Bombyx mori: one gene and its partners. The protein of the gene in region 7 binds, or shares a complex with, the protein of the main gene of each other region. Links are inferred from orthologs where the notes say so. Each region holds a gene or a part of one and is shown on either strand. Other genes may lie near its edges.

What was found.
Region 1: ALY (region 7) and THO complex subunit 3 share a complex: the UniProt entries of both Homo sapiens proteins name them as parts of the transcription/export (TREX) complex. The link is inferred for Bombyx mori from reciprocal best matches to the Homo sapiens genes ALYREF and THOC3.
Region 2: ALY (region 7) and eIF4AIII share a complex: the UniProt entries of both Homo sapiens proteins name them as parts of the ALYREF/THOC4-EJC-RNA complex. The link is inferred for Bombyx mori from reciprocal best matches to the Homo sapiens genes ALYREF and EIF4A3.
Region 3: ALY (region 7) and ATP-dependent RNA helicase WM6 share a complex: the UniProt entries of both Homo sapiens proteins name them as parts of the transcription/export (TREX) complex. The link is inferred for Bombyx mori from reciprocal best matches to the Homo sapiens genes ALYREF and DDX39B.
Region 4: ALY (region 7) and Y14 share a complex: the UniProt entries of both Homo sapiens proteins name them as parts of the ALYREF/THOC4-EJC-RNA complex. The link is inferred for Bombyx mori from reciprocal best matches to the Homo sapiens genes ALYREF and RBM8A.
Region 5: ALY (region 7) and SAP domain-containing ribonucleoprotein share a complex: the UniProt entries of both Homo sapiens proteins name them as parts of the transcription/export (TREX) complex. The link is inferred for Bombyx mori from reciprocal best matches to the Homo sapiens genes ALYREF and SARNP.
Region 6: ALY (region 7) and THO complex subunit 7 homolog share a complex: the UniProt entries of both Homo sapiens proteins name them as parts of the transcription/export (TREX) complex. The link is inferred for Bombyx mori from reciprocal best matches to the Homo sapiens genes ALYREF and THOC7.

The regions. Positions count from the first base shown.
Region 1 is NC_085132.1:2,069,957-2,072,481, reverse strand, and holds the end of THO complex subunit 3, read right to left. Parts: intron 2,357-2,525; coding exon 2,195-2,356; intron 1,501-2,194; coding exon 1,400-1,500; intron 701-1,399; coding exon 543-700; 3' UTR 501-542; downstream 1-500. UniProt on the Homo sapiens protein: Component of the THO subcomplex of the TREX complex which is thought to couple mRNA transcription, processing and nuclear export, and which specifically associates with spliced mRNA and not with unspliced pre-mRNA.
Region 2 is NC_085131.1:3,885,623-3,889,583, reverse strand, and holds the start of eIF4AIII (eukaryotic initiation factor 4A-III), read right to left. Parts: upstream 2,801-3,961; 5' UTR 2,680-2,800; coding exon 2,529-2,679; intron 2,244-2,528; coding exon 1,908-2,243; intron 1,571-1,907; coding exon 1,348-1,570; intron 480-1,347; coding exon 225-479; intron 1-224. UniProt on the Homo sapiens protein: ATP-dependent RNA helicase. Involved in pre-mRNA splicing as component of the spliceosome. Core component of the splicing-dependent multiprotein exon junction complex (EJC) deposited at splice junctions on mRNAs.
Region 3 is NC_085122.1:1,018,084-1,021,614, reverse strand, and holds ATP-dependent RNA helicase WM6, read right to left. Parts: upstream 2,321-3,531; 5' UTR 1,929-2,320; coding exon 651-1,928; 3' UTR 501-650; downstream 1-500. UniProt on the Homo sapiens protein: Involved in nuclear export of spliced and unspliced mRNA. Component of the TREX complex which is thought to couple mRNA transcription, processing and nuclear export, and specifically associates with spliced mRNA and not with unspliced pre-mRNA.
Region 4 is NC_085108.1:4,111,901-4,116,120, forward strand, and holds the start of Y14 (RNA binding motif protein Y14), read right to left. Parts: upstream 2,801-4,220; 5' UTR 2,663-2,800; coding exon 2,602-2,662; intron 1,922-2,601; coding exon 1,819-1,921; intron 1,667-1,818; coding exon 1,549-1,666; intron 516-1,548; coding exon 402-515; intron 1-401. Other genes in the region: uncharacterized protein LOC101745843, read left to right, coding at 4,091-4,220.
Region 5 is NC_085113.1:6,731,076-6,733,797, reverse strand, and holds SAP domain-containing ribonucleoprotein, read right to left. Parts: upstream 1,385-2,722; coding exon 593-1,384; 3' UTR 501-592; downstream 1-500. Other genes in the region: S-adenosylmethionine sensor upstream of mTORC1, read left to right, coding at 1-469. UniProt on the Homo sapiens protein: Binds both single-stranded and double-stranded DNA with higher affinity for the single-stranded form. Specifically binds to scaffold/matrix attachment region DNA. Also binds single-stranded RNA. Enhances RNA unwinding activity of DDX39A.
Region 6 is NC_085129.1:4,007,871-4,011,116, forward strand, and holds THO complex subunit 7 homolog, read left to right. Parts: upstream 1-1,149; 5' UTR 1,150-1,612; coding exon 1,613-1,622; intron 1,623-1,696; coding exon 1,697-1,820; intron 1,821-2,196; coding exon 2,197-2,671; 3' UTR 2,672-2,746; downstream 2,747-3,246. UniProt on the Homo sapiens protein: Component of the THO subcomplex of the TREX complex which is thought to couple mRNA transcription, processing and nuclear export, and which specifically associates with spliced mRNA and not with unspliced pre-mRNA.
Region 7 is NC_085114.1:10,512,187-10,516,211, forward strand, and holds ALY, read right to left. Parts: upstream 2,787-4,025; 5' UTR 2,730-2,786; coding exon 2,526-2,729; intron 1,876-2,525; coding exon 1,659-1,875; intron 1,581-1,658; coding exon 1,386-1,580; intron 754-1,385; coding exon 605-753; 3' UTR 501-604; downstream 1-500. Other genes in the region: replication factor C (activator 1) 5, read left to right, coding at 3,691-3,725, 3,814-3,878. UniProt on the Homo sapiens protein: Functions as an mRNA export adapter; component of the transcription/export (TREX) complex which is thought to couple mRNA transcription, processing and nuclear export, and specifically associates with spliced mRNA and not with unspliced pre-mRNA.

The DNA of each region.
Region 1 (2,525 bases), on a different chromosome or scaffold from region 7:
GAAGAGAGAGCGAAATACTCGCTTCACCGCTCCGATTTTTTATTACCCAAACTGCACGGACAAAATAATTCTACTATAGTTTGCTTAAAAAACCATTTGAGCTCATTTCAGAATAAAACCGTCCCTCATTAAACTCGATATAGAACCATAGTAGTGTACAAACTTATAATTTGACTTAATTATAGTCAAATTTCGACTACCGGGGGACCATTAGTTTAAAAAAATTTTTAGTTTAATCTTTTATTACATCGTCTCAAACTTTTTCGTCTGTGTGTTGCATGTCGCGTGACGGTCGGCCGCGGAGTAGGGATAAAGTGAAAGGCGCTCGTCAGAGCAGCCAAGGCCAATATGGCGGCGCCTATAGTTCGCAGCAGCTGACCGTGTAGTGTATAGACTGTTACTCATTTGTGCCAGTGCTCCACGCTATTTTGTTTTTGTTTTTGTCACTGTCTAATGTAAATGTTTCACTTTTACCGTGGTTTCATAAAACCACACAATCCTTTTTAGTATTTTAGTTTATTTTGTATATTACATTTCCAACACTAAGAACTAGAGAGTCCCCACAGTTTGAGATTCCCCAAATCCCGTTTCCTCTCGGGCGGCTCCTTGTCCTCGCAGGCGAAGGCCAGCAGGTAGCGCGCGGGATGCCACGACACCGTGAACGTGGACGCGGACACCGGGATCTCTGCTACTTTCTCCCCTGAAACAGGTTAACAGGGGGTTACTGGTGGTAGGACCTCTTGTGAGTCCACGCGGTTAGGTACCACTACAAAAAAGTCCTGATCCTTCATCGAGGCTCTTAACCTCAATCATAAGGCTTACTGCTTCACTCTGGGAGCTGTTCGTGTGAAGACTCTTTAGGCAATCGAAGCTCCGCATTCACCTCCTCAAATTGTTCCCACCCTGATAAGGATTGCGGCTTCGAAGGCAACGCTGCTGCAAAGTCCTCTTGATACGATCTTAGATCTGACTGGGGCGTTGGCATTTTGAGTCCTTCAGTCACTTAGTCTGGCTAACCTTGCCAATTATTATGCACTTTTCTTTATAGCTGTACTTCGGCGCGCTGCCTGGACAAAGTAGATTGGGGGGGGGGGGGCTCGATAGGGCTGGCACTGTTTAGCTGTTAAGTAGGCACTTACCTAAAGGTAATTAACTTTTTAATATCTTTAATACGAAACTCTGATGACTAATTTAATATAAAATAAAAGTCCTTTTCAATTCAACAAATTTAAATCTCAGCATTTTGACAACCCAAATTTGTTTCTATTCTATCCCTAGTCTAATTTTCCCTCTAATTTTCGGTACTGGAGTCCCGTACAGTCACAAACAAAATTGTGAAGTCAAGTTAGTAACTGTGGATCGTTACCGCTGACCGTAAATGAATATAAAATAGACGAACCTGTCTCCGTGTCTCCGATGTCGATGATGTGGTCCTCGCTCGCGGACGCCAGCAGCCTGCCGTCGAAGCTAAACGACAGCGTCCGGACCGGCCACTCCAACCTGCAACATTGCACACCAGATGTTCTAATTGCACGGGTAGGTCCGCACGGGTAGGTACCACCACCCTGCCTATTTCTGCCGTGAAGCAGTAATGCGTTTCGGTTTGAAGGATGGGGCAGCTGATGTACTGTAAAGACAGGTCTTAGAACTCATGTCTCGAAGTGGGTAGCGACGTTTACATTGTAGATGTCTAAGAGGTCCGGTAAACACTCAACACCAGGTGGGCCGTCAGCTCGTCCACCCATTTAATTGCAACAATATTAAATTTCCCTGTGTGGCTGGTATTTGTAATTGAGAAAGAATGAAACACTGCCTTTTCCCAGGATAATTACTTTTAACACTCTCTTGTGAATACAGTATAATTGCACAGCAACGGTTGCTATGTTTCCATGTTAAATGAATAATGTATTCTGGGTACCATTTAGGTAATATCCACCGTTCATCCTTCATCGCAAATTTCCAACTTCCAAGTCCATTTCCAAGTCTATTTATTAGTATCAGAGGTCTCAGTATTTTACTCTTCATCTTCACGTAATATTAAAAATACAAGTTTGTCTGTTTGTTTGCATTTCGCAGACTGTTGGAGCTTGGTCAATAGCCCGCACTAGTGAAATTAGTTTACATTTTGGCATAATATTGTGTATATTTGATATCTTTTACAGCACATTCAATGAACTAGAACAAAAAAAAATACCTGGAGAAAACTCTTAAGCAGGCCAGTTCATTGACATCCCATAGTGAGACCAGAGCATCGGCTGACCCAGTAGCAAAGTATCTACCGGTTGGGTCGTGCTCGATGCAGATACACGTACCAGGATGCGCCTTCAGTACTGTCTGCAATTCTAGAGATGGATAACTGGAGAGAAATATTAATTTTCGTTATTTTACTAAACTCTCACCATACATACTTTGGCGACTCACTTATCCGCCACTACATTGACACATACCACTACTTGGGCAACCGCCTTATAATTTCGACCAAATTGCTGTCACTTGTGATTTTAGGCCACATCCGCTATTGTTGT
Region 2 (3,961 bases), on a different chromosome or scaffold from region 7:
GCCCATCCAACACTCAACAAAAGCCCAGAGGCATTATTACATAAATGCTGTCTGTAAAGGTGATCCATATCTCGTTTACATTAAAAAAAAAAGAGCAATTGTATTTTTCATATTAAATCACTAGTGATATTAGTTCACGAAATTCGAAACCATTCACATTTAGATCTTGAAAACTAAAAGTCTTCAAGATCGTATTGTTTTTATTTTAATAGAATTTCCATTACCTTTGACCAGAACGAAATTCCTTCATAATGTTGTCTCTCTCTTTCTGTGGCATGTCACCATGCATTGAACTGACAGTGAAGTTTGCCTCTTGCATCTTCTGTGTGAGCCAGTCAACCTTCCTCTTTGTATTACAAAATATTACTGCTTGGGTAATTGTCAGTGTATCATAGAGGTCACAAAGTGTGTCAAACTTCCATTCTTCTCGTTCAACTGCCACGAAGAACTGTTTGATACCCTCCAGTGTCAACTCATCACTGTAGAAAAAATGATTCTTAATTTCAAATACATTTACCATGATAGAAAATTTGTTTACTTAATTACTATTTAGCTTGCATAGGTTTATGTGTTGAGCAATTAACAAAATGATAGTCCATACAGAAATAAGCTTCATCCTAGAAATAGTATAGTTGATAATGCTAAAATAAAACAGATAGTTTTCTACACTTAATGTAACTTCTTTTCTTAATCTAAATCTCCTCTAGTGTTTCCTGAGTACTGTGACATAATTTTATTCAAATGAGATATCAGGCAAATAACCCTTAGCGTCACTAGTGTCCATAGGCGGCAGTAATCACTCACTATCAGGTGGACAAATTCCTTCAAGGGCAATATAAAACAAATATTTCATTTAACTTAGTGGGTGGATGAGTTCAAGGCCCACGGTGTTAATGGTGTTAAGTGGTTACCAGAGTCCATAGACACCTAGAACAGCTTTGCTGTACTGAATTCCATGGGCGATTGTCACCACTCACCATCAGGTGGGTGGTATGCTAGTCTGCCTACAAGGACACTAAAAAAATAAAATGACATGAGTTCTAGTGTCTCGCATTTTACAGTACAACAGCTGACCCACCGTTCAAACCAAAACACATTACTGCGTCCCAGCAAAAATAGACAGGATCGTGGTACCTACCCGTGCGGACTTACAAGACATTCCTACCACCTACCACCAGTAATTACGCAAATTATAATTTTACATGTTTGATTTTTATTATAAGATGTTATTCCTTCACTATGGAAGTTAATCGTGAACAATTGTGAAGTACGTATTTCATTAGAAAAATTAGTACTTGCCTGCAGAATTCGAACTTTAATGTGTATTTTTGAAATAATCATACAAACCGTTTTACTAATATCCTTATTGGATCAGTCATAAACTTTGATGTCATTTCCAATATCTCATGGGGTAGTGTTGCTGATATTAGCACAACCTGAGTTGCAGGAGGCAGATAGCGGTATACATCATAAATTTGCTCTTTGAAACCTTTGTTCAACATCTCATCAGCCTCATCAAGAACCAGCATCTTTATTGACCGGGTTCTCAACACACGCCTTCTGATCATATCTGAAAATAAGATTGTTTTCTTATAATCTAGGGCACCCTACATCTTGCAGTGGATAGATTATTTAACTTTTTCAATTATTGCACAAGGATGACAATTTATAGACACCATCCCTGTTCTGAGATGCCTGAAACCATACACATGGGTTTGTGGTGAGACTACTGTAGTGAGTAGTACTGTTGGTGAATTTGAGAAGTGGAAGTTAAGTTACTACTTTCAAGAAATAAAAAAGGTGAACCAGCCAGATAACAAAAAAGATCACAGAAGGTTTATCTTTGGTTTTGGAAACTAAAACAATTAGTACTTATTTACTTGGATTAGCAATTTTCATTTATTTACCAAAAACTCTGCCAGGTGTGCCAGACACAACATGCTGTCCGTAATCCAATTTCCTTATATCTTCTCCAAGATTGGTACCTCCAATACAAGCATGACATTGAACGTTCATGAAATCTCCAAGAGCTAATATCACTTTCTGAATCTGAGTAGCCAGTTCACGGGTCGGTGAAAGAATAAGTACTTGAGTTTCACGCAGAGTCGTGTCTAAAGTCTGTAGTATTGAAATTGAGAATGTCGCAGTCTTTCCTGTACCAGATTGTGCTTGAGCTATTACATCTCTGCCTTTGACTATAGGCAAGATGCTTCTCTGCTGAATTGCTGAAGGTTTTTCGAAACCTGTAAATTAACGTTAGTTATTACTAAGTGGTTACCGGACCCCACATACACCACAATACGGAATCTACCAGCCCCCAAGGTTTAACAGTGCGATTGATTTTAAATGTATTGTAAATTAGTATGTCACTCTTCGAAGCCGGAACGCAGAACTGTTGCGAAAAAACAGGACGACAGTCTGACAGACGGACGACCATAATACGGTCTAAAGCTGGTAAGATAATGCCCACATGATCGTTTATGTAGGCAGTTGTAATAATTATAAATAACACCACAATTTGTACTAACCATATGTGTATATTCCTCGCAATAACTCATCTCGAAGTCCCATGGAGTCAAAAGTGGGAATAACTTCGACATCTTCACTCGTGTCGAACTCAACATTCGACAAATCTTCCGACAATATTTTTCTATTGGACGATACTTCAGACGATGTCATTTTTCGAATCTAGTTCGCTTCTAAGTTTTTAAAATAACAAGTTATACGATAGGTGAAAATCTCTTAGAATCTGAATTTCTAAATTACTAAAGGGAAACTTAAGAAACTGTGTCCATAACCATAGATAACACCATAGATAATGAATTTAATTCCATAAGATAGATAATACATTTCATACATAAGATCCATAGACTATTAAGTGATTATTACGCTTTTATTAGCTCCATACCTATGTAGGTATGTAACGGAATCTTTGAATATGATTTTGACCACCTTCAAAATGTCAGATTAACTTGAAATTTGGCATACTTAGGTATTAAGGACCGATGATAATTCAATATTTTAAACAGTAGACTCGTTATTTAATTTCGGCAGTCAAAACAACAAATTAATTTTTGCGCCTTCTTTTCTTCACTTAGAAAATTTGGAAACTGTTTTATTTGCCTGAATGCACATTAAAGAATAATTTATGATAGATAATAAGTAAACTAAAAAATGAAAAATACATAATAGTTTAAAAAAACTAAAATACATGTTTTTATAGAAAATCCAACTAAAAAATGGAAAATAATGTAGTGTGCAACAACGTTACTTCCCACACATCACAATAAATTTATTTAAAAAAAAGCGTGGGATGCTTTTTATGAGATTATCAAAATGATAAGACTTAGCTAGCAATTTCTGTCAATAAAATATTTAAACTATTGACGCCGCGCATCTCACGATTTTCTATAAAAACGTGTATTTTAGTTTTTTTTAATTATTATTTATTCATGTATTCTTAAGCCGCGATAACCGGAGTGATGGTAAGAACTCATCCGAAAATAATGTGATTGTTTATAGTACTGAAAGGCGACGACGCGGGGGCTCATAGCTACTGACGAAACCCCTTACTAAAATAAATTAATAATGTTGATTTGTAGATAGTCTGTGGTTTCAAGAGTCACAGGTAACAATCTAAAATGGAAAAGAAATAAAACGGCTATAGATTATACACAAAGTAAAAAAAACGTGATACAAAACGCGAAAGAAGAAACGTTAAAAAAAGAAAGTTTTAGAGCGTAACCAGCAAAAGATATAATGCGGCTACAAATTTTAAAAATACATGTATTATATGATTCTATAATTTAACTGTTGAAATTGTTAACTGTGCTTTACAAGATTAATTTGAGATCTAAACATTTTTTCGACTGGGTCGAAACAAAACGCAATTAACAACGCATTCGTTCAGAGGTCGAACTGGTCGAAGGAATTTCGTTTTAATTTGTGGCCAAAAGAACGA
Region 3 (3,531 bases), on a different chromosome or scaffold from region 7:
AATATAGTGTAGGCAGACAATTATAGATTTTGATTTTGTAGTGGATACCAGTTACTGGACATGGGCCTTCTGTACTTTTCAGTTAAAACTGGTCGCGTTCCTGTATAATTATCCTATAGCAAGGCTCTAAAAACAGTAATTTCTTGAAACTACTTGCACCCCACCTCTCACACTGTACGTAGGTACTCTAAATTAAATTATGGCTTGTTTTATTCTGAAGTTTTTAGGCATGAAATTTTATCCAAATGCATCCAGTAGTATTTGTGTGAAGTATTAACATCCAATATCAGTAAATTTTGCATGTCTAAGAATATAAAAATATGAAGTCATAAAGACAAAATGATATGTTCAAAATGGATATTTTGTTACATTAATATGAACATGGTCAAAATAAATATATCAATTTCCTGTCTACATTCTAAAGTTAAACATATCACAGCCTGTCTTACTGATAACGATGAAAGCTCCCAAATTGTTGGTAAAGAAATAAAACACTCAGATATCACAATATGAAATGTCACTTTAATTAGATAAACCTAGTTAAACAGTAAATGTGGCTCAATGTATTACAAATCAATGTTAAAGCAGGCCAGTCTAATTACCAACAAAATGAGCCACAGCAGTAAATAGGTATGGGAATGAAACTTAATCTATCGTCCTTCGATGTAGGTAGAGAGCTCAATTTCTTCAGGCAGCTCTGTAATGTTCACATCGAAACGATCTTGTACTTGGTTTAAGATCTTGGCATCATTTTCATCAGATATCATAGTAATGGCCAGACCTTTGGTACCAAACCTTCCTGCGCGGGCGACACGATGTAGATATGTATCTGAATCTTCAGGCATGTCATAGTTGAAGACAATATTTACCCTTTCAATGTCCATTCCCCGGCCAAACAAATTTGTTGCAACCAGGATCCTTTTTTGGAAGTCCTTGAACTGTTGATAGCGGGAGAGACGCTCATCCTGGGTCATATTTCTGTGGATACCAATGGCAGGGAAGTTTTGGTCGGTGAGCAGTTGTGCCAGAGCTATGCAGCGCTGTACTGATTTCACAAAAATAACCACCTGATTGAACTCCAATACATCAAGTAGTTCGAAGAGTTTTTTATTCTTCTCATTTTCTTTTAGTTTCACATAATGTTGCTGCAGTCCATGTAGCTTGAGTTTGGCTTCATCATCTACATAAACTTCCATTGGGTCTTGCATAAATTTCTTACACACAGGTCTGATTTCTTTACTCAATGTGGCTGAGAACATCATCACCTGTTTCCCGTGAGGAGTGTTCCGGAATATCTCCTGCACATCTCGCCTCATGTCTAGAGATTCCAGCATCTTATCACACTCATCAAGGATGAAGTGTTTTAAATGTTTCAAATTAAGTTTCTTACTGTTTACTAATGCCAAAATTCTACCGGGAGTTCCCACTACAATGTGAGGACATGCTGTCTTAAGGACTTCCTCGTCTTTCTGAATTGGCATACCACCAAAGAATACTGATACTCTGACTCCTGACATATATTTCGAGAAACGCTCGTACTCCTTACTTATTTGGAAAGCCAACTCTCTGGTGTGGCACATTACAAGCACGTAAACGTGGCTCTCGGAGGGTTCCAGCTGCTGCAATGTTGCCAAAACAAACACGGCTGTCTTACCCATACCGGACTTGGCTTGGCAAAGTATGTCCATACCGAGGACGGCTTGCGGAATGCATTCGTGTTGAACTTCGGAAGGATGCTCAAAACCGCAATCAACAATAGCGCGGAGTATCTCTGGCTTAAGTAAGAAGTCTCTAAAACCAGAACTGTGGATGGATACGTAGGATCCTTTAACCTCCTTCTTTGGCGCCACTTCGGTAGACCCGTCAGCAGTCTGTTGATCTGCTTGTTCTTCATCTTCGTAGTCGAGAAGATCGTCGTTGTCAGCCATGATTTACTTTAGTTTAATTAGCTTGTTTACTGTATCGTACTCACTGTGAGCACGTGAAATTTATTTTTACAATACGATTTCACAATAATGGCGGCTTCGGCTTTTTTGGCGTCAATCCAAACTTTTTTTGTTATGTTTGACAGTTAAATATGACGTGCCACTTGGCTTTTTCGCCACTCAACAGTTTACGAGAATTAAATTTGCAATTTGATTTTTGATTAATTTGAAATTTTATTTGTGTAAAGTAAAAAGAAGAACACAGGCGAACAGCTATAATGCAATCATAGTTTTTATTTTCACGTGAGCACGTGAATAATATGTCTTTTATATGATTTTTTTCATGTCATATTATTTTTTGAAATGACCCATTTTATGAGTATTTAAAAATGAAATACTTAGAGCAGTGATTATCAAACTTATTTCTTTTACCGCCCCCTTTGAATATCAATTATTTTTCAGCGCCCCCCATTTTTTATACACCCCTAAAACTTTAAAACCACAATTTCATTAATTTAATTAATAAATGTTGTATTAATTTTATTAAATGTAGTACCACGTAGTACATATATATTTGTAGATGCTATTATTGTTTCTTCATATTATTATATGTCCGTACATTGCTACAGAGCGTGTATTTACAAATTTGCAAAGTAAAAATGAATTCTTCTCATCAATATGTTTGTTTAAATTCAGAATTACCAAAATAAATTGCTAGTTCACTGTACTATTACTATGCTAATTTATTAGAACGAAACTATTTTTGTTGAATATCTTTCTCATTAATATAAGATTCTCATCATAAGATAATTAAAAATTTATATTTCGACTAGTAAATAATACTACTAACAATAATAACTTATTAAACTACGAATAAGCTAAACCTGGAAGACGTAGAGGATTTCATTTATCTGGGCTCCGTCATAGCTAGTAATGGAACCTCCGAAAAGGACCTCAGAAGGCGAATCAGTATGGCAAAGAGGGCTATGTTCCAAATGGACTGTGCTTGGGTGGCATTTTTTTCTACGGCGCAGAGACTTGGACCCTCAAGAAAGCCGACCGCCAACGCATCGACGCGTTTGAGATGTGGTGCTGGAGGAAAATGCTCGGGATTCGTTGGACAGAACACAGAACCAACGAATCCATTCTTACCGAGCTCAAGATTCCAATGCGCCTCCGCACTACATGCGCGCGGAGGAGTTTAGAGATCTTTGGACATATCGCCAGAAAGAGAGGTGAGAATCTGGAAAAGTTGCTGGTAACAGGCAAGGTATGCGGGAGAGGGCACAGAGGCAGAAATCCAATGCGCTGGTCGGACCAAATACGCTCCACTCTCAAAACTTCAGTCCACGTTGCTATCCATACAGCCGAGGACAGGCAGGAATGGCGCAAGATGATGCAGGAGAAAGTTATTAGAGGAGGCCGCGACCCTCAGCACTGAGGATTATCGACGCAAGAAGGAAGGAAACTACGAAAAACAAATTAATATCATTTCGTATTATAGATAAATATGGGTAATTTTTCATAGAATTTTAGTTTATAATTTAGAACTGGTTCAAATAAAAACCGCCACCTAAGTCAGCGTTTTTATTATTTGTAATAATTA
Region 4 (4,220 bases), on a different chromosome or scaffold from region 7:
AAGCAATTAAAAAAGATACATACGAAGTTTAAGATGTATACAGTGGATATCTTTAAACGAGCAATTCTTGTATATTAATATATATGTATATAATTTGAATCTCGGAAACGGCTCCAACGATTTTCATATAACTTAGTATACAGGGGATTTCGGGGACGATAAATCGATCTAGCTACGATTTATTTTGAGAAAATGTTGTTTTATTCGTGTTTTCAAAAATTAACTCTTCCTGACATCTATTGGCGAATAATAATACTATTTTTCTTAATTGAGGGCAACTAACCGCTTTAAAGACACAACAAGATGGCGTTATCAAAAAAAACCGGTCATCATTCAGTATGTATAAAGTGGATACCAAAGCACAGTAAGTCTTATATTAATCAGTAGCACTAAGTACTTACAGCGGCTTGTTTATAAGTCTCGTACTCAACTAGAGCGTAGCCTTTGAGGAAGCCTGTGCGTCGGTCCAGATTCAGATGAATATTCTTTATCTCACCAAACTCGGAAAATTGATTCTGTCAACAAAACAAACTAATATTGTTTCCACTGATCGAATCACCGATCCTTATAAAAAAAGGGTGCGTGTACTTATGTACGCGCGTAAGAAGTTATACTTTATTTTTATTAATTTTTATTTTTTTTTAGATGTTAAATAAATATATTTAATGTTAATAATTTAATAATATTTAGTATGAATTATATTAAAAAATAATTTTGTCATTTATATTAGTAAAAAATAAATGCTAATCACACTTTTTTTTACGAGTGAACATGCGCGAAAGTTCACCTGCGGCTATATTCAGACTCTCCAAGTTACGGCGGTCGTATTTTAATGAGCGATTTAGTGGGCAACTTCATTTCTGTTAAATTTGTGTCACGGTGCGCGTGCATCGTAAAATTTCACTCTCATCAATTTTTCACAACGCGCCTAAAGAACTTCAATAAAATTTGTAATAGTGGTCTGCATATATTCTATGAAAAACTTGACATATTTTTATTAAAAAAAAAGGATTTGTATTACATACTTATTCTATTGGTCATATAATAATTTAATCTTATTGGCAATGTAGTAATGTAGGCAGCGGCTTGGCTCTGTCCCTGGCGCATTGCTGACGTCGATAAGCGACGCTGACCACTTACCATCAGGTGGGCCATATGCTCGTCTACTGCTCGCATGTTGCCTAGAAAGGCAATAAAAAAAACCTATAGTCCTATTAAATTATTATATTATTATTGATCAATACTATTCCACAGATTTACACTAATGTTTCAAAGTGGCTACATTCACATTTTTATGAATATGTCAATGTCCCTATTGATGCGTGTCTATTTACCAACAAATACATTGACATGACAAAATATCTTTTCTTTGACTTAACCTATTTCACATTTCACATTAATTAAATAGGAATATACCTTTTAATCTTTCACATTGTTTTTTTGTAATTATAACCATTTCAAATTAAGGTGTGTCTCAAACAGTAGCTACAAGTAGATACAAAGTGGAAATTTTATCTTCTAAATATAAATAAAAGAAGTTTTAATTGCCTGTATATCTTCTTCTTGTGCTTCTTCATGTACATTACTGACAAACAGGATCCAGCCTTCAACTGATCTCTGAGGTCCTGGTGTACCGCTATCGCCTTCCGGAGCTAAACTGTCGTATCTGCAACAAAACAATACAAAGTTTTGGCCACTGTTGGACATGTTAAGCCTGGTTCGGTTGTGGGTTTTTCCAGAGTGGAAACAGAGCTTCTGTTGATTAGCAAGAAATATTATTATTCAGTACAATGGAAAATGACAAAATCTGTGTATTACCTTCCGCGGTTACCCCGTTCTGCAGCACTGCCTCCACCGGCTTCGTTGCCAAAACCACGACCTTTTCGCTTACGTGCCTTCTCCTTAAGTCTAGCGATTCCCTCTGTAACATTTTTAAATACTGTAATTTTACACTAAATTTTTTTTTTATTGTTGGGTGCATGATCTCACAGCCCACCTGTTGTTTAGTGGTTACTGGAGCCCATAGACATCCACAATGTAAATGCGCCATCCACCTTGAGATATAAGTTCTAAGGTCTCAAGTATACAACGGCTGCCCGGCTGCTACGGCAGAAATAGGCAGGGTGGTGGTACCCACCCGCGCGGACTCACAAGAGCTCCTACCACCAGTATATTATGTGTTATTTTTGGAAATCAACAACATTACAATTTTTAGTTTACTTTAAGCTTAATTTAGTGCAAGAATAATTATAAAACACGTAAGAATCACCAATGTAATGTCCTAAAGCACGAAATATGAAAAAATGGGGAACAAGCAATCTATATGTTAGATTTATATGTCTTAACAAGTCTGGTGTGCATCATTTTGTATGTGTGCATTTAAATTAAACCCAGTGGTGAAAGTTTAACGTCGACCGGCGATAATAACATTACAAATGTAAAAAAAATTCAGTCGGAAATTATAACCTTAATTGAGACAACATTTCCCGTTTTATGTCCACACATAATTGCTTGTTTAAGCTACGAGCAGACTTTACAGATAATGAATAGGAAACAAAATTTGATTAAAATATTTTTAATAATATCAATTGTTCCACTTACGTTCACCATCTTCGTCGACTTCAAATTCTTCTGAATTTTCGATATCTAGCACGTCAGCCATGTTTTATAGTAGATTTACGTTATGAGAAGTAGTAAATAATTTAAATAAAATGTAATTAATAAAGATGTATTTATCTAGAGACCATATGAGTTTAAAAAATCAAAAAGTTACACAAATTAATCTTGAAAACTCCGCATCAAACACGACCACCATAGATTATTCCATAGATTATACACTTATTATATTTGAGAGATTATTCATAGATAAGACATGTATACGACAATCACATTTTTAAAGGACTTTATGACCTGGTAACTAAGACTTTTAGGTCAAGACTTATTTTAATTTTAATGAAAACTTTTTTTATATGAAATATGGCAGGAAATTAAATTGAATGGAAATTAAAACGAAATGAAATGAAAGGAGATGAGATGATATGGGATGAAATATAATCTCAGGAAAATGGTGGACATTTAGTGAGACTTTTTCAGTGCACTTTTTGGAAGATCCCGAGAAATTACGTTCGGCGGCTTTGTTTCATTTTCACACATTTGTGCACTTACACAGTTACTAAACAGATAATAAACCACCGTTATTACGCCTTTAAACTCGAAGAAGCACTAAATAGACAAAACAAAACAGATCACAAAACTTCATTCCTCGCGTTCCCGTCAAAAAGTCCCACAACAATCGTACATCAACGTCAAAAATAGATAATATACATAATAGAAGTGTATTGTATAGAACTGTATTTTAAATGGCATTAAGTCCGCCTTTATACTGTCAAGTTTATAAAGTTATGGCGAAGCTGAAATTTAATAGCCTCTCAAGGCTATCAGAATAAGTAGGAAAAAATAAAAAAATAGCACAAATAGATATCTACTTCAAAAAAAATGTCAATTTTTTTTTTCATAAATATGATTAAAAAACCACCAAAAAAAGGGAAGGATTGCCAAAAAAATTATGTTATATGTATACATTTATTAATCATCATACAAATTTCCTCGAATAATATGAAACTGTTCTCTCTCTCTCTCTCTTCGATCGGTTCCTCACTGCTGAGGATCGTGACTCCGTCCGATTTCGTCAACCAACTGTCTCCATCGATCCCGCCCTGCAGCCCGGTGGAGTGCGTCGCTGATAGGTATCCCCAGTTCCTCCGCTATTTGTTACTTAATTATTATATATATTTATCACTTTCACTTCTTTTAAGTACAATGCAATTTTCAATGATATTCGAAAATCATAAAATATGATTAAATTATTTCAAATATGAAAAGAACTTCTAACTTTTGATCTTTCTTTTTAATTCTTTAGTTGAAATAAATGCGATTTTTAAAATTTTAATATACTCTTTAAGCTTGTGAATTTTTTATCATCTGAAAATAAAAAAGAATAGAGTAATCAAATAAATAATAATCAATGTCAAACTAACTTTCAGAGTTTCAGTCTATTAGCATACATTGAAATGAAATTAGTAGTAAAATCATGAGTGACTGTAATTTATTAGAAAACGATGTGGATGAAAAATTGATAATAACGAAAAAAACTAAAAGTTCTCTTTTCTCAGAATGGAAATTCAAATCATCCATTCCGACCCCGCGTTCTTCGCCTCCAC
Region 5 (2,722 bases), on a different chromosome or scaffold from region 7:
AGACAATAAAGTTAAAGAAATAGGAGAAAATAGCTATGAAAGTGTGACATTTTGTTTTTTATTAGAATATATTCCAACTTCCCAGCTTCGAATAACTGCATGTCAAAAAGCCTATGACATATTGAAACCTGGAGGGTTGCTTACTGTTACCACACCGGATTCAAAACACGTTGGAGCAAATAGCAAAACAATGAAGTGCTGGCGTTATGCATTAGCCTTAATGGGTTTTTCAAGAATTCGTTATCAGAAATTTCAACACATGCATTGTATGGCATTTCGAAAGTGTTTATTGAAAGATGTAGCTATTCGCTGGGCTAATATTCATAAAGAACCTTTTATGGAATATGCACTACATATACCACAAGATTTTAATACTAATGAAATTAGTAAAAATTCTGCCCAAAACCAAGTCATCCATCACATAATTGATGATTTTCAAGAATTGCCATTCTATAACATGAACGAATGATTTAATATGTAATTAAAATGCTTAACAAATATTGACTTAGTAGAATGTTTTATTTATTTAAAACAATACTTATATACTAATCTTAATTTGTTAGAGTAGACTTTCCATTATCAGAAACATGTTCTATGCAACAGCACCAAATTTGGCTTTACGTTTTTCCAATTTCTCCTTTAGTTCAATATCTGTCATTATTTTGGAAACAGATTCACCAAACCTCTCTGCTCGCTTTCTAAGTTTTTCCATATTTTCGTTTAACGTCCCTGTACTAGTGAAGGTGTTCTGATTATCATTTTGATTAAACCTTTGTTTCCTGGCTTCCTTTCTCTCAGACTCGGACATTTTAATAGGCAAACCAAATCTTTTAGCACGCAACTCTAACCTTTTCTTTGGATCTAGATCAGTATTTATTTTAATGACATTATTACTTTCGGATGCCGTTTTCGGCTCTACAGATTTTTCATTAATTTGATCATCAACAGTTTTAGAACTGACAAGTGAAATTGATGAGGGTCTATTCAACACAATTTTCTTTGCACTAGCATTTTCTGCACTTTTATCTTTGGTTTCTGCGTTGGTTTTGCGTTTTAATGTTCGTGTTGATTTTGTTTCTACAGCGATTGTCGCAGTAGAAGACTGTTCCGAAAGAACTAAATCTTCGTTTAAAGTGTCCACGGCAGTATCATCAAGTACGTCTGTTTGGCTTTTAACTTCTTCGTCTTCAAAAACTCCGTCCGAGTCCATTTCGTCAAATTCAAAGTTGATGTCGGTGTGTTCATCTTGAGATATAATTGCAGCTTGTAGTCTAGCGATTAACTCTGCTTTGTCGCCGGCGTATGAAAGTCCACGTGATTTTAATTCTTTACGTAGTTCAACAACTTTCATCTTAGTCACATCGGAAACTGTTGAATCCGCCATAGTAATCAAAAGTAGTTTACGTTATTGAACAAGGAACTTTTAGAATGCTTACACGCGATGCTTAGCGTTAGCTTACACTAGAAATTAGAAATACGAAGTGTATAATCTATGTTCACTACTTTTTTTAAGAGATTTTATGACCTGGTAACTAACACTTTTAGGTCATGTCCTACTTTAATATTTAATATTCTTAATTTTATGAAAAATTATATGGAGTAAAATGAAATTAAGTGAAGATGATTAATTTGAGACATTAATCAACCAGAATGAAATTAAATTAAATAAGATGAGATGATATGAGATGAAATAAATCTTAGTCAAATATTTACGGAGATTTTATCAGTTGACTTTTTGGAGGATCCCGAGAAGTTACGTCCAGCGGCTTTATTTCATTTTCCCACATTTTTGCACTTTCACAGATATTAAACAGTTAATAAACCACCGTTATTACACATAACGGCCATCTGGTGTAGTGGTAAGTGACATGGTCACTACACAAGGGGGTCGCGGGTTCGAATCCCGCCAAGGGAAGATATTTGTATGATAAATATAAATGTCTTTTCCAGGGTTATGGATGTATATTAAATATATGTATGCGTATAATAAAAATCTTACATTTAAATCCGTTATCTGGTACCTGTAACACAAGTTCTTTACGAACTTATCACGGGACCAGTTAACGTGGCGTGATTGTTAGTAAATATTTATTTATTATTATTTATTATTTAAACCTGAAGAAACACTAAATAGACAAAATTAATCAAATCACACAACTTCACTCCTCGCGTTCCCGCCAAAAAGTCAGTTAGATTACAACGTAAAATGGAGCATAGATTACACGCTTAATTAAAATAGCTGCGAAATTTACACAACAACGTAAGTACCTGACAGACTAAAAGAGGGTAGAAGTTTAAACAGCACAATCTCTGAAAAAATGTGTGGAAAAGTGATTAAATGACTTTTTTACCGGGAACCCGGCATTGTGTGAATTGATTAATTTTATTTAATTTAGAATTTCATTTCGTCATGCTTAAACGTGTTATTACGGCAGCTTAAATTCCGATCCGGTGATAGATTCTGCGAAACACTCCTCTTGCTAGAGCTAGTATTAACAAACTTTCTCAGATTGAGCAGGTTGTAAGTTCACCCATCCGCGAGAACCTGGAATAGGTAGGGAAAACATTTATGTAATTAATAAGTACAAAATCTCTAAAAAATGTTCCAATTATACGCCGTATTTCTAATCAAGTGATATTAAGAGTGTTCATGTCGTAACTACGTTCATGCTTTGAAATTAGAAAAAACTTGAGTCTATCCAAATGATCGGAAATCGGAATA
Region 6 (3,246 bases), on a different chromosome or scaffold from region 7:
CAGACAGTCATCTTTGAATTGAACATTGAAAATTTAAAGGTTAATTAGGCCAGCTACCATTCCATTTCTTGTATTAATAAAGAAAAAAGCAAAACACACAACAGAATGCACAGAGCTTTCCAACATGTCACAGCTGATACTAGCTTGAATTAAGAAATGTTTTTATACTTTATTTTGCTGACTAATAAAAAGAGTAGAGCGGGAAGTTATCCCAAAGCAAAAGAATAAGAGAAAATTATCTCGATAAATGTAACATTTTATAGTTAGATTTAAATATTGGTTACTTCCACATTTGTAGTAAGAAGATATTAAGAAAACTTAGCGCACTCACCATTGAACATAAGATAGTAATAGTACCTAGTAAGTTTAATTATTTTAGTCTTGTCTTATACTTCTTTCAATAATAGAACTGGTTTAAAAGACGATATTTTTCATGTCTTAAAATTGAATTGGAACTTACTTCGTTAGCTTCTCCAGCCCGGTACAAAGTAGGCTCGGGGTAAAGAGTACAAACAGTACTAAATACGGCACGACCAGCTGCCCCGTGATAGGAAACTGCCAGGTTGCGCTTTGTAACATTGTTGTTAATATACATTTGCCGCTCAGAAATAAGGATAACACTTGACCAAGCAGTATGCTCCTCCACACTTTCCTGAAAATGCACACTTAGTTAGTTTAAGGACGTTTACCCAAAAAATATTTTATTTATTTATTTATTGATACTAGCCATCGCCCAAGTTCCGAGAAATAAATCTCGACTTTATCACTGAAACTTGACGTTTCCATTGTTTCAGTGAAAGATATTCCGAAAGTTTACTCAGCTAATTTACTGTTAAAATAGATTCAATAGTTTAAAGGGTTTAATATAGCAGTTATTCATCATTTCCTGAACAATGGATCGAAATTCGAAAGGCAAAACAACATGTGAATTGTGGTTGTGACATCTGTTTTTTTTTCTTGTTTGGCAGGCATCTCATAATAGTCTGTGGTTTTCTTTCGTCCATTGAATGAGCAAAGGGAAAATAGCCGATCAAAATCTTTTAATTAAAATAAAAAGGTTAAGCTTTGTGTTCTTAAAATCTTAAGAATTTAATCAGCGTTCAATTAAATTTTGAGATCTCAAGAAACCACGGTCAGCAATTTTGTTTCAATCAATTTTGACAGGAATGTGAAATAGTAAAGTTGTAATACTGTGTGAATGTTTTATTTAGTTTAGTTTTCTTCATCTTTAAATATAAAAATAGTTATCGTCTTATTTATATCATTTCATTTTTTATGCAACAGATATGATTTCAGGCTTTGTCGTAAAATATTTAGATAAAAAGAAGAGCATTTTTAACTTATGAGAATGTCTCCTTTGCCTATGAGTTGGATAAAAAAAACTTTTTTTTTATTAATAATTTAACCTGCCAAAATTTGGAGATAAAATATTTTTAATTTTTCTTGATTTTTGTAAATAAAACACACAAGTTAGCACTTACATATAAAGAACAAGGATAAATTTGAATTCGCTTATGATAAGATTATTTTGTAGAATAAAAACATTACCTAACAATTTATAAGGCAAACTCGGACGAGATCATAATTTCATTTGAATTTTACTCCAAACATAATGGGTGACGGTAAATAACTTTACCTAAGAATACAAAACTACTCAAAAACAAATACTATTTCAATACTCATTGGTTATTTCCAGAAGATGTGATTCGTAGAAGACTTCTGATCGACGGTGACGGTACTGGAGACGACAGGAGACTGAATGTACTTTTAAAAACTTTGATAAAATGGTGCAATACAACGGATGACAAACCGGAAGAAAGGTTGGTTTTAATAAATAGTACCGTATTAGGACGTATTGTGAGCTCACATGCGTAAACACTGTTCCACTTCCGAATTATCATAGCTTCCGCATTGATCATAGCTTCCAATTTGAAGGGTAGAATTGCCATTGTAAATTCAATTGAAACTTCTATCTCGTGTCCCAAAGGTTCTGGTAAGCATTTAATACCAGCAGGGAAATGTTGGCATCTGTTTATCTATAATAAAGAGCCTTAATATTCAATTAAGTGTTCATTAACCTTTTCATTTATTCCCCATATACATTTGTTGTTTTATTATGAGAATAAAAATCTGCAGTCAAAATGTAAGTTTTTGTAGTTCCAGAATATGTAATACGATTAAGATTTCTCGTTTTAGTAAAGCTACTCATGATCGTATGTTAGCTCAACTGGCACAATGCGAATTTGCTGTCACAAAATCGCAACTCGGTTCTGAAATGATGGCTGCTGAATTAAAAAGCTACGAAGCACTCTCGAAAATTCTAGAAAGCGGAATAGAGGTGGCCAAAGAGAACATACAGAAGAGCAAAACAGATTTAGCACAAGCAAAGACTGTCAGAAAAAACAGAATAGAATATGATGTCTTGGCTAAGGTTATCAGTGAACAGCCTGATCGTAAGGAAACCTCTGAGAGATTGAGCACTCTGAAGACTGAACTAGCAAACTTGGAAACCACCAAACAGCAATTGGAAAGTCGGTTAGCATTACGAAAGAAACAATTTCATGTGCTTGTAACTTCAATACATCAATTACAAGCATTATTAGATGAACTAGATGATGCAGAGACTATTTGTGATGATGTTGATATGAAAGAAATATCAAATGAATCATAATAATGAGTGATGTATTAGAGTATAAGATTATTTCTCTATGTGAGATTTCTAATAAAGTATGAATTTTCTACTTGATTTTTTGTTTACATTTTCAGTACTGTAAAATGGGGAGAATTGGGACACTTTTTAAGTTCGACATTGATTTGTATAGTTTTTTTTTGTTTTAGTAATAAAACGGAGATCATAATGGTTCTGGAGGCTTAAATATTTATATACAATGCGTTACTATACATTGTTCACTACAAAAATACACAAAAACTGAAAAAAATAGCTTGACCCCATTCACCTTGGCTTTGGGGTTGAATCAGGTTACGTAGGGGCCCGCGATCTGGACGGGACCTTCAGCCCGCAATGATTGCGTGCTGTGGGTCTCGTCTGCGGGGGAGATGCTGGACTTCCACCAGGCGCGTCCGTGGGTGGCGGATCACGGGATCCTCTGGGCGACATTCCCAGAGGTATGGTCCGATCTTTTTCGTTGCGAGGATTCTTAGGTTTAGGATTAGGTTTAGATGTAGGTTAAAGTCCTAGGTTTAGGATTAGGATAGTTTAGCTAGGCTTTGCCTGGTAGATCCTTT
Region 7 (4,025 bases):
GCTTCTGTCCAAGCAGTGGGGTTTGCCCGAGGCCCGTTCCGTGCCCCTGTAAGGGGGTACGACAACTCCTTTTATAAATGAACTTTGATGTTGCCGTAGCTTTAAATATGACTGTTGATGTGCTGAAATTGAGTGTAATGACCATGAAAATTTTTTGAAAAAGTATTTCTCATTGTTTTTGACAGACTTCCACATTGAACGAATAACATCACCAGTAGCTACGTATAATTTTTAACCTACACAGGTAGTGATGTTTGGAGGTGGAGCAGTGATACGCTTAAGATCTAGGCAGTTTCCAAATCGGCAGATGCCGAATGCAGATGCATTCACTGTAATACAGTTGAATTACGATAACCTCCTTAAAAATGTTTACACTTGTGTACACAACTACAGACTAAAAAGAAATCTATACAAGAAAATTTCAAATCTGGGTTTATTTATCCAATTTAATACATGTACTAGAATTATAATTTCTTTATAATTCGTAGTCTTTTATTAGTATAACCTATACTTTTACAATTAATCTAGAACATTGAGAACACAAAGCTTATTCATTCATATTTTAAGATAAAACTGAGTGTCTATGCACATTCTCATTAGTTATTCACTTGATTTCTTTCACATATGCATCAAGCTCTGCATCTAATTGTTCTGCAGTAGGTACTGGTCGTTTGCCTCTGCCTGCACCACCACGTCCTCTTCTGTTTCCCCCACGTGCTCCACTATTGCTTTGATTTCTAATTCCTCCACCTCCTTCAAAAATAAAATAATTAATGGATTTCTAGTAATTTGTAACTTGCAAACAGTAAAGTGAAAATGTACAACAAGAACTAGTGGGAAAATATCAGTTTTAAAAAAAGTAATTAATTTTAATAATGTTTTTTTAAATGAAGGATTTAGGGCCGGAGGCCTTTCCAGTTACACCACGAATGCTTAGCCAGAAGAGAAGGGTTTGCTAACAGTTGAACACCTCCGAAAGAGGTCTAACACAATTCATGGGCAGCTGCTTTGCAAATGAATCTACTACCAGATCAGTAGTCTGTCTATGGATTAGGTTGCACATCAAACTCTTTAGAGTTCAATGAGTATGGTTAGTGTTAAAGCAGGTGTCTAATGCAAGAGTTATTGGATCTGATGGATCCGTAATTATGTGTCTAGGACATCAACAGTTAGTCTCTGCTGTGGGTAGAAATAGTCAGCGGCAGCAACAATATGGCGATTATCATGACCAATGGCCTTATTGAAGTATCTTTCCGACAATAACTAGGTGTTTCCAGATTGATTCGACTAAGAGGCCATCTTGTATATGGTGATTTGTCACAAATCACAATGATGTAATTTGTTATCACTCCTCCCATACAAACAAATCCTGGAAAATATCTTACCTCTTTTAGGATTGTTTCGTATAGTACCTCCCACACTCGCACCACCAATTCGATTTCTAGCCTCGGGCCTTAAAGTATTGATTTCAGATGTTGCCAATTGTATATTCATTGCCCGTCCATCAAGTGGCACTCCGTTATACTGTTTCATAGCCTTCACAGCATCTGCTTTTCTTTCAAACACAACATCTGCAGTACCTAAAAAAATTTAAAAATATCTTGTATGATGAAATACTTAATGGAACAAACTAAGTTTTTATGCTTTGTGATACATACCTAAAGATCTACCTGACCGATCATAATGTACAGATGCACTTTTGAGGATGCCAAATTCCGAAAATAGTTCCTTTATATCTGAATCTGATACTCCAAAGTCCAAATTGGATACAAGCAGCTTGGTAGGACCAGTTGTTATGGTCCCACTGTTTCTTTGAAGTTTCCTCTCACCAAAATCATTGAACATATCATGTTTCCAAGTGCTGTTCACATCACCCTGAAAAGGTCATCCTTCATAGAGCTAGCCATGTGGCTACTCTCTATGCCTCCTTTGAATATAATAAAAACTCAAAGCTTAGGCACTAAAATTAATACATTGACATCTGAACCACTTGATAAAATAACATTTGATGTAGTTTACATGTTTTTTTTCGAAAATTAAAATATAGAACTGTTTTATCACTTTCATCACACAGACACAAGACTAATAAGTTATGAAGCACAACCAGTCTCAGCCGTCCATGGAGTCCATTTATTTACTTTTCAACTCCTGAAGTCAATTCTATAAATTGGTCAAAACTGCACTGTAGACATCTCCACAAAAGTAACGTTTTGCTCGAATTCATTACACTTTTATATCAGCATCCATCATAGAATTTTCCGGCAGATGTAGGTAAACAATGCAAAACAAAAACGTTGATGGAGATAACAATATGGTTGCTGGGATTATGGTTTCAAGTTGAAAATAGGTCGGATACGAATAAAATAAGGGTCTTGATTTGAATCAAAGTGTCAAATTTCGTCTAAAACTATTTCAACAAGATGGTCCATATGGTTGCTTGACTTTTTGAGAACAAATTAGATACATTGATGCGTCACATTTGCCCGCCATTTGTAATTTTAGAATCATCTAATTATTGGAATTACCCTCGAATAGTTGGTAGATTTCGTTATGCCTCCACGATTTCTACCTCGTTGTACACCACCAGAGCGGTTGCTACGAAATCCAGCACCGCCTCCACGTCCTGTTCTTTTGTTTGCATCAAATTTTCTTCCAGCACCACCTCCAATCCTTGTCTTTTTGTTGGCTTTTATAATATCATCCAGTGCCATTTCAATTTGATCAACCATGGTGATTATTTGAAATTCTAAATATTTTTTCTATGAAAATTAAGTCAAAAACAAAAACAATCCTTTTAGAACTCTTCCTTCCCAAGTAGACGGTGACAAAATGGCCGAAGAAAAGATTCGTTATTGCCAGATTGCTAATATTAGTTCAACAGTAGATTGAAAAAAATTGTTGAGCTTTAAATTTGGTAGAAATTATAGTCAATAAAGACTATCTTACACATCTGTCTTAGTTTATTTTATTTTACATTTACCAGTTGATTTGGTCAAATCTTTCTGTTTAAAAAATTAAGCGCTTAGTTTTAATCTTTAACTAGGTAATCAAATCACGTAATGCTAATGCACTCAAAATTCAAATATTAAGAAGTGTATTATTTATGGTTCGAGATTTTTGGCGCGAGGAGTGAAGTTGTGTGTTTTGTTTTATTTTGTCTATTTAGTGTTTCTCCAAGTTTAAATGTGTAATAACGGTGGTTTATAACCTGTTTAATATCTGTGAAAGTGCACAAATGTGGGAAAATTGAAACAAAGCCGCTGAGCATAACTTTTTGGGATCCTCTAAAAAGTCCACTGAAAAAGTCTCAGTAAATGACTACCATTTTACTGAGATTATATTTCATCCCATATCATCTCATCTCATTTCATTTCATTCCATTTCATTTTCATTTCATTTCATTTCATGTTATGTTTCATATTAATCAACTTCATTTCATTTCATAAATCATTTTACATATAAAAAATATATAAAAGATTACGCTTTATGGTATGATACCTTTGCCTTTCCAATAATATATTAAGTGTATAATCTATGAATAAAACTGCTACTACTATCTATGGTTCGAATTTTGAATTTTATAGTTTCCTCAAGCTTGTAAACCAATCCACAATTTAAATAAATCGTTTTTATTAAAGTATCTGTACTTACATACTAGAAGCGATTTAAAAATACTGTTATAAAAACAATATGACTGTTGGGGAAACAGGCCAAAATTTGCCATGGTATGAACTATCATTAACAATGATTTAAACAAAAAAATCATAACTCAATATATTTTACTACGACGATTAACACTTTGTTTTTACGCAGGGTTGAAAAATATCGCCCAAAAAGATTGGATGATTTAGTATCTCATGATGATATAATAAAAACAAGTAAGTATAAATTTCTGAAACTAATGATCACATTATTTTAAAGAGACTATCAAATTTAAGGCTATAAAAATTGGACTTGAATCAGGTTGATATTAAGTTGCTAACCGTAATACGAATACCTTATAACAGTTAATGCATAAACCCCCT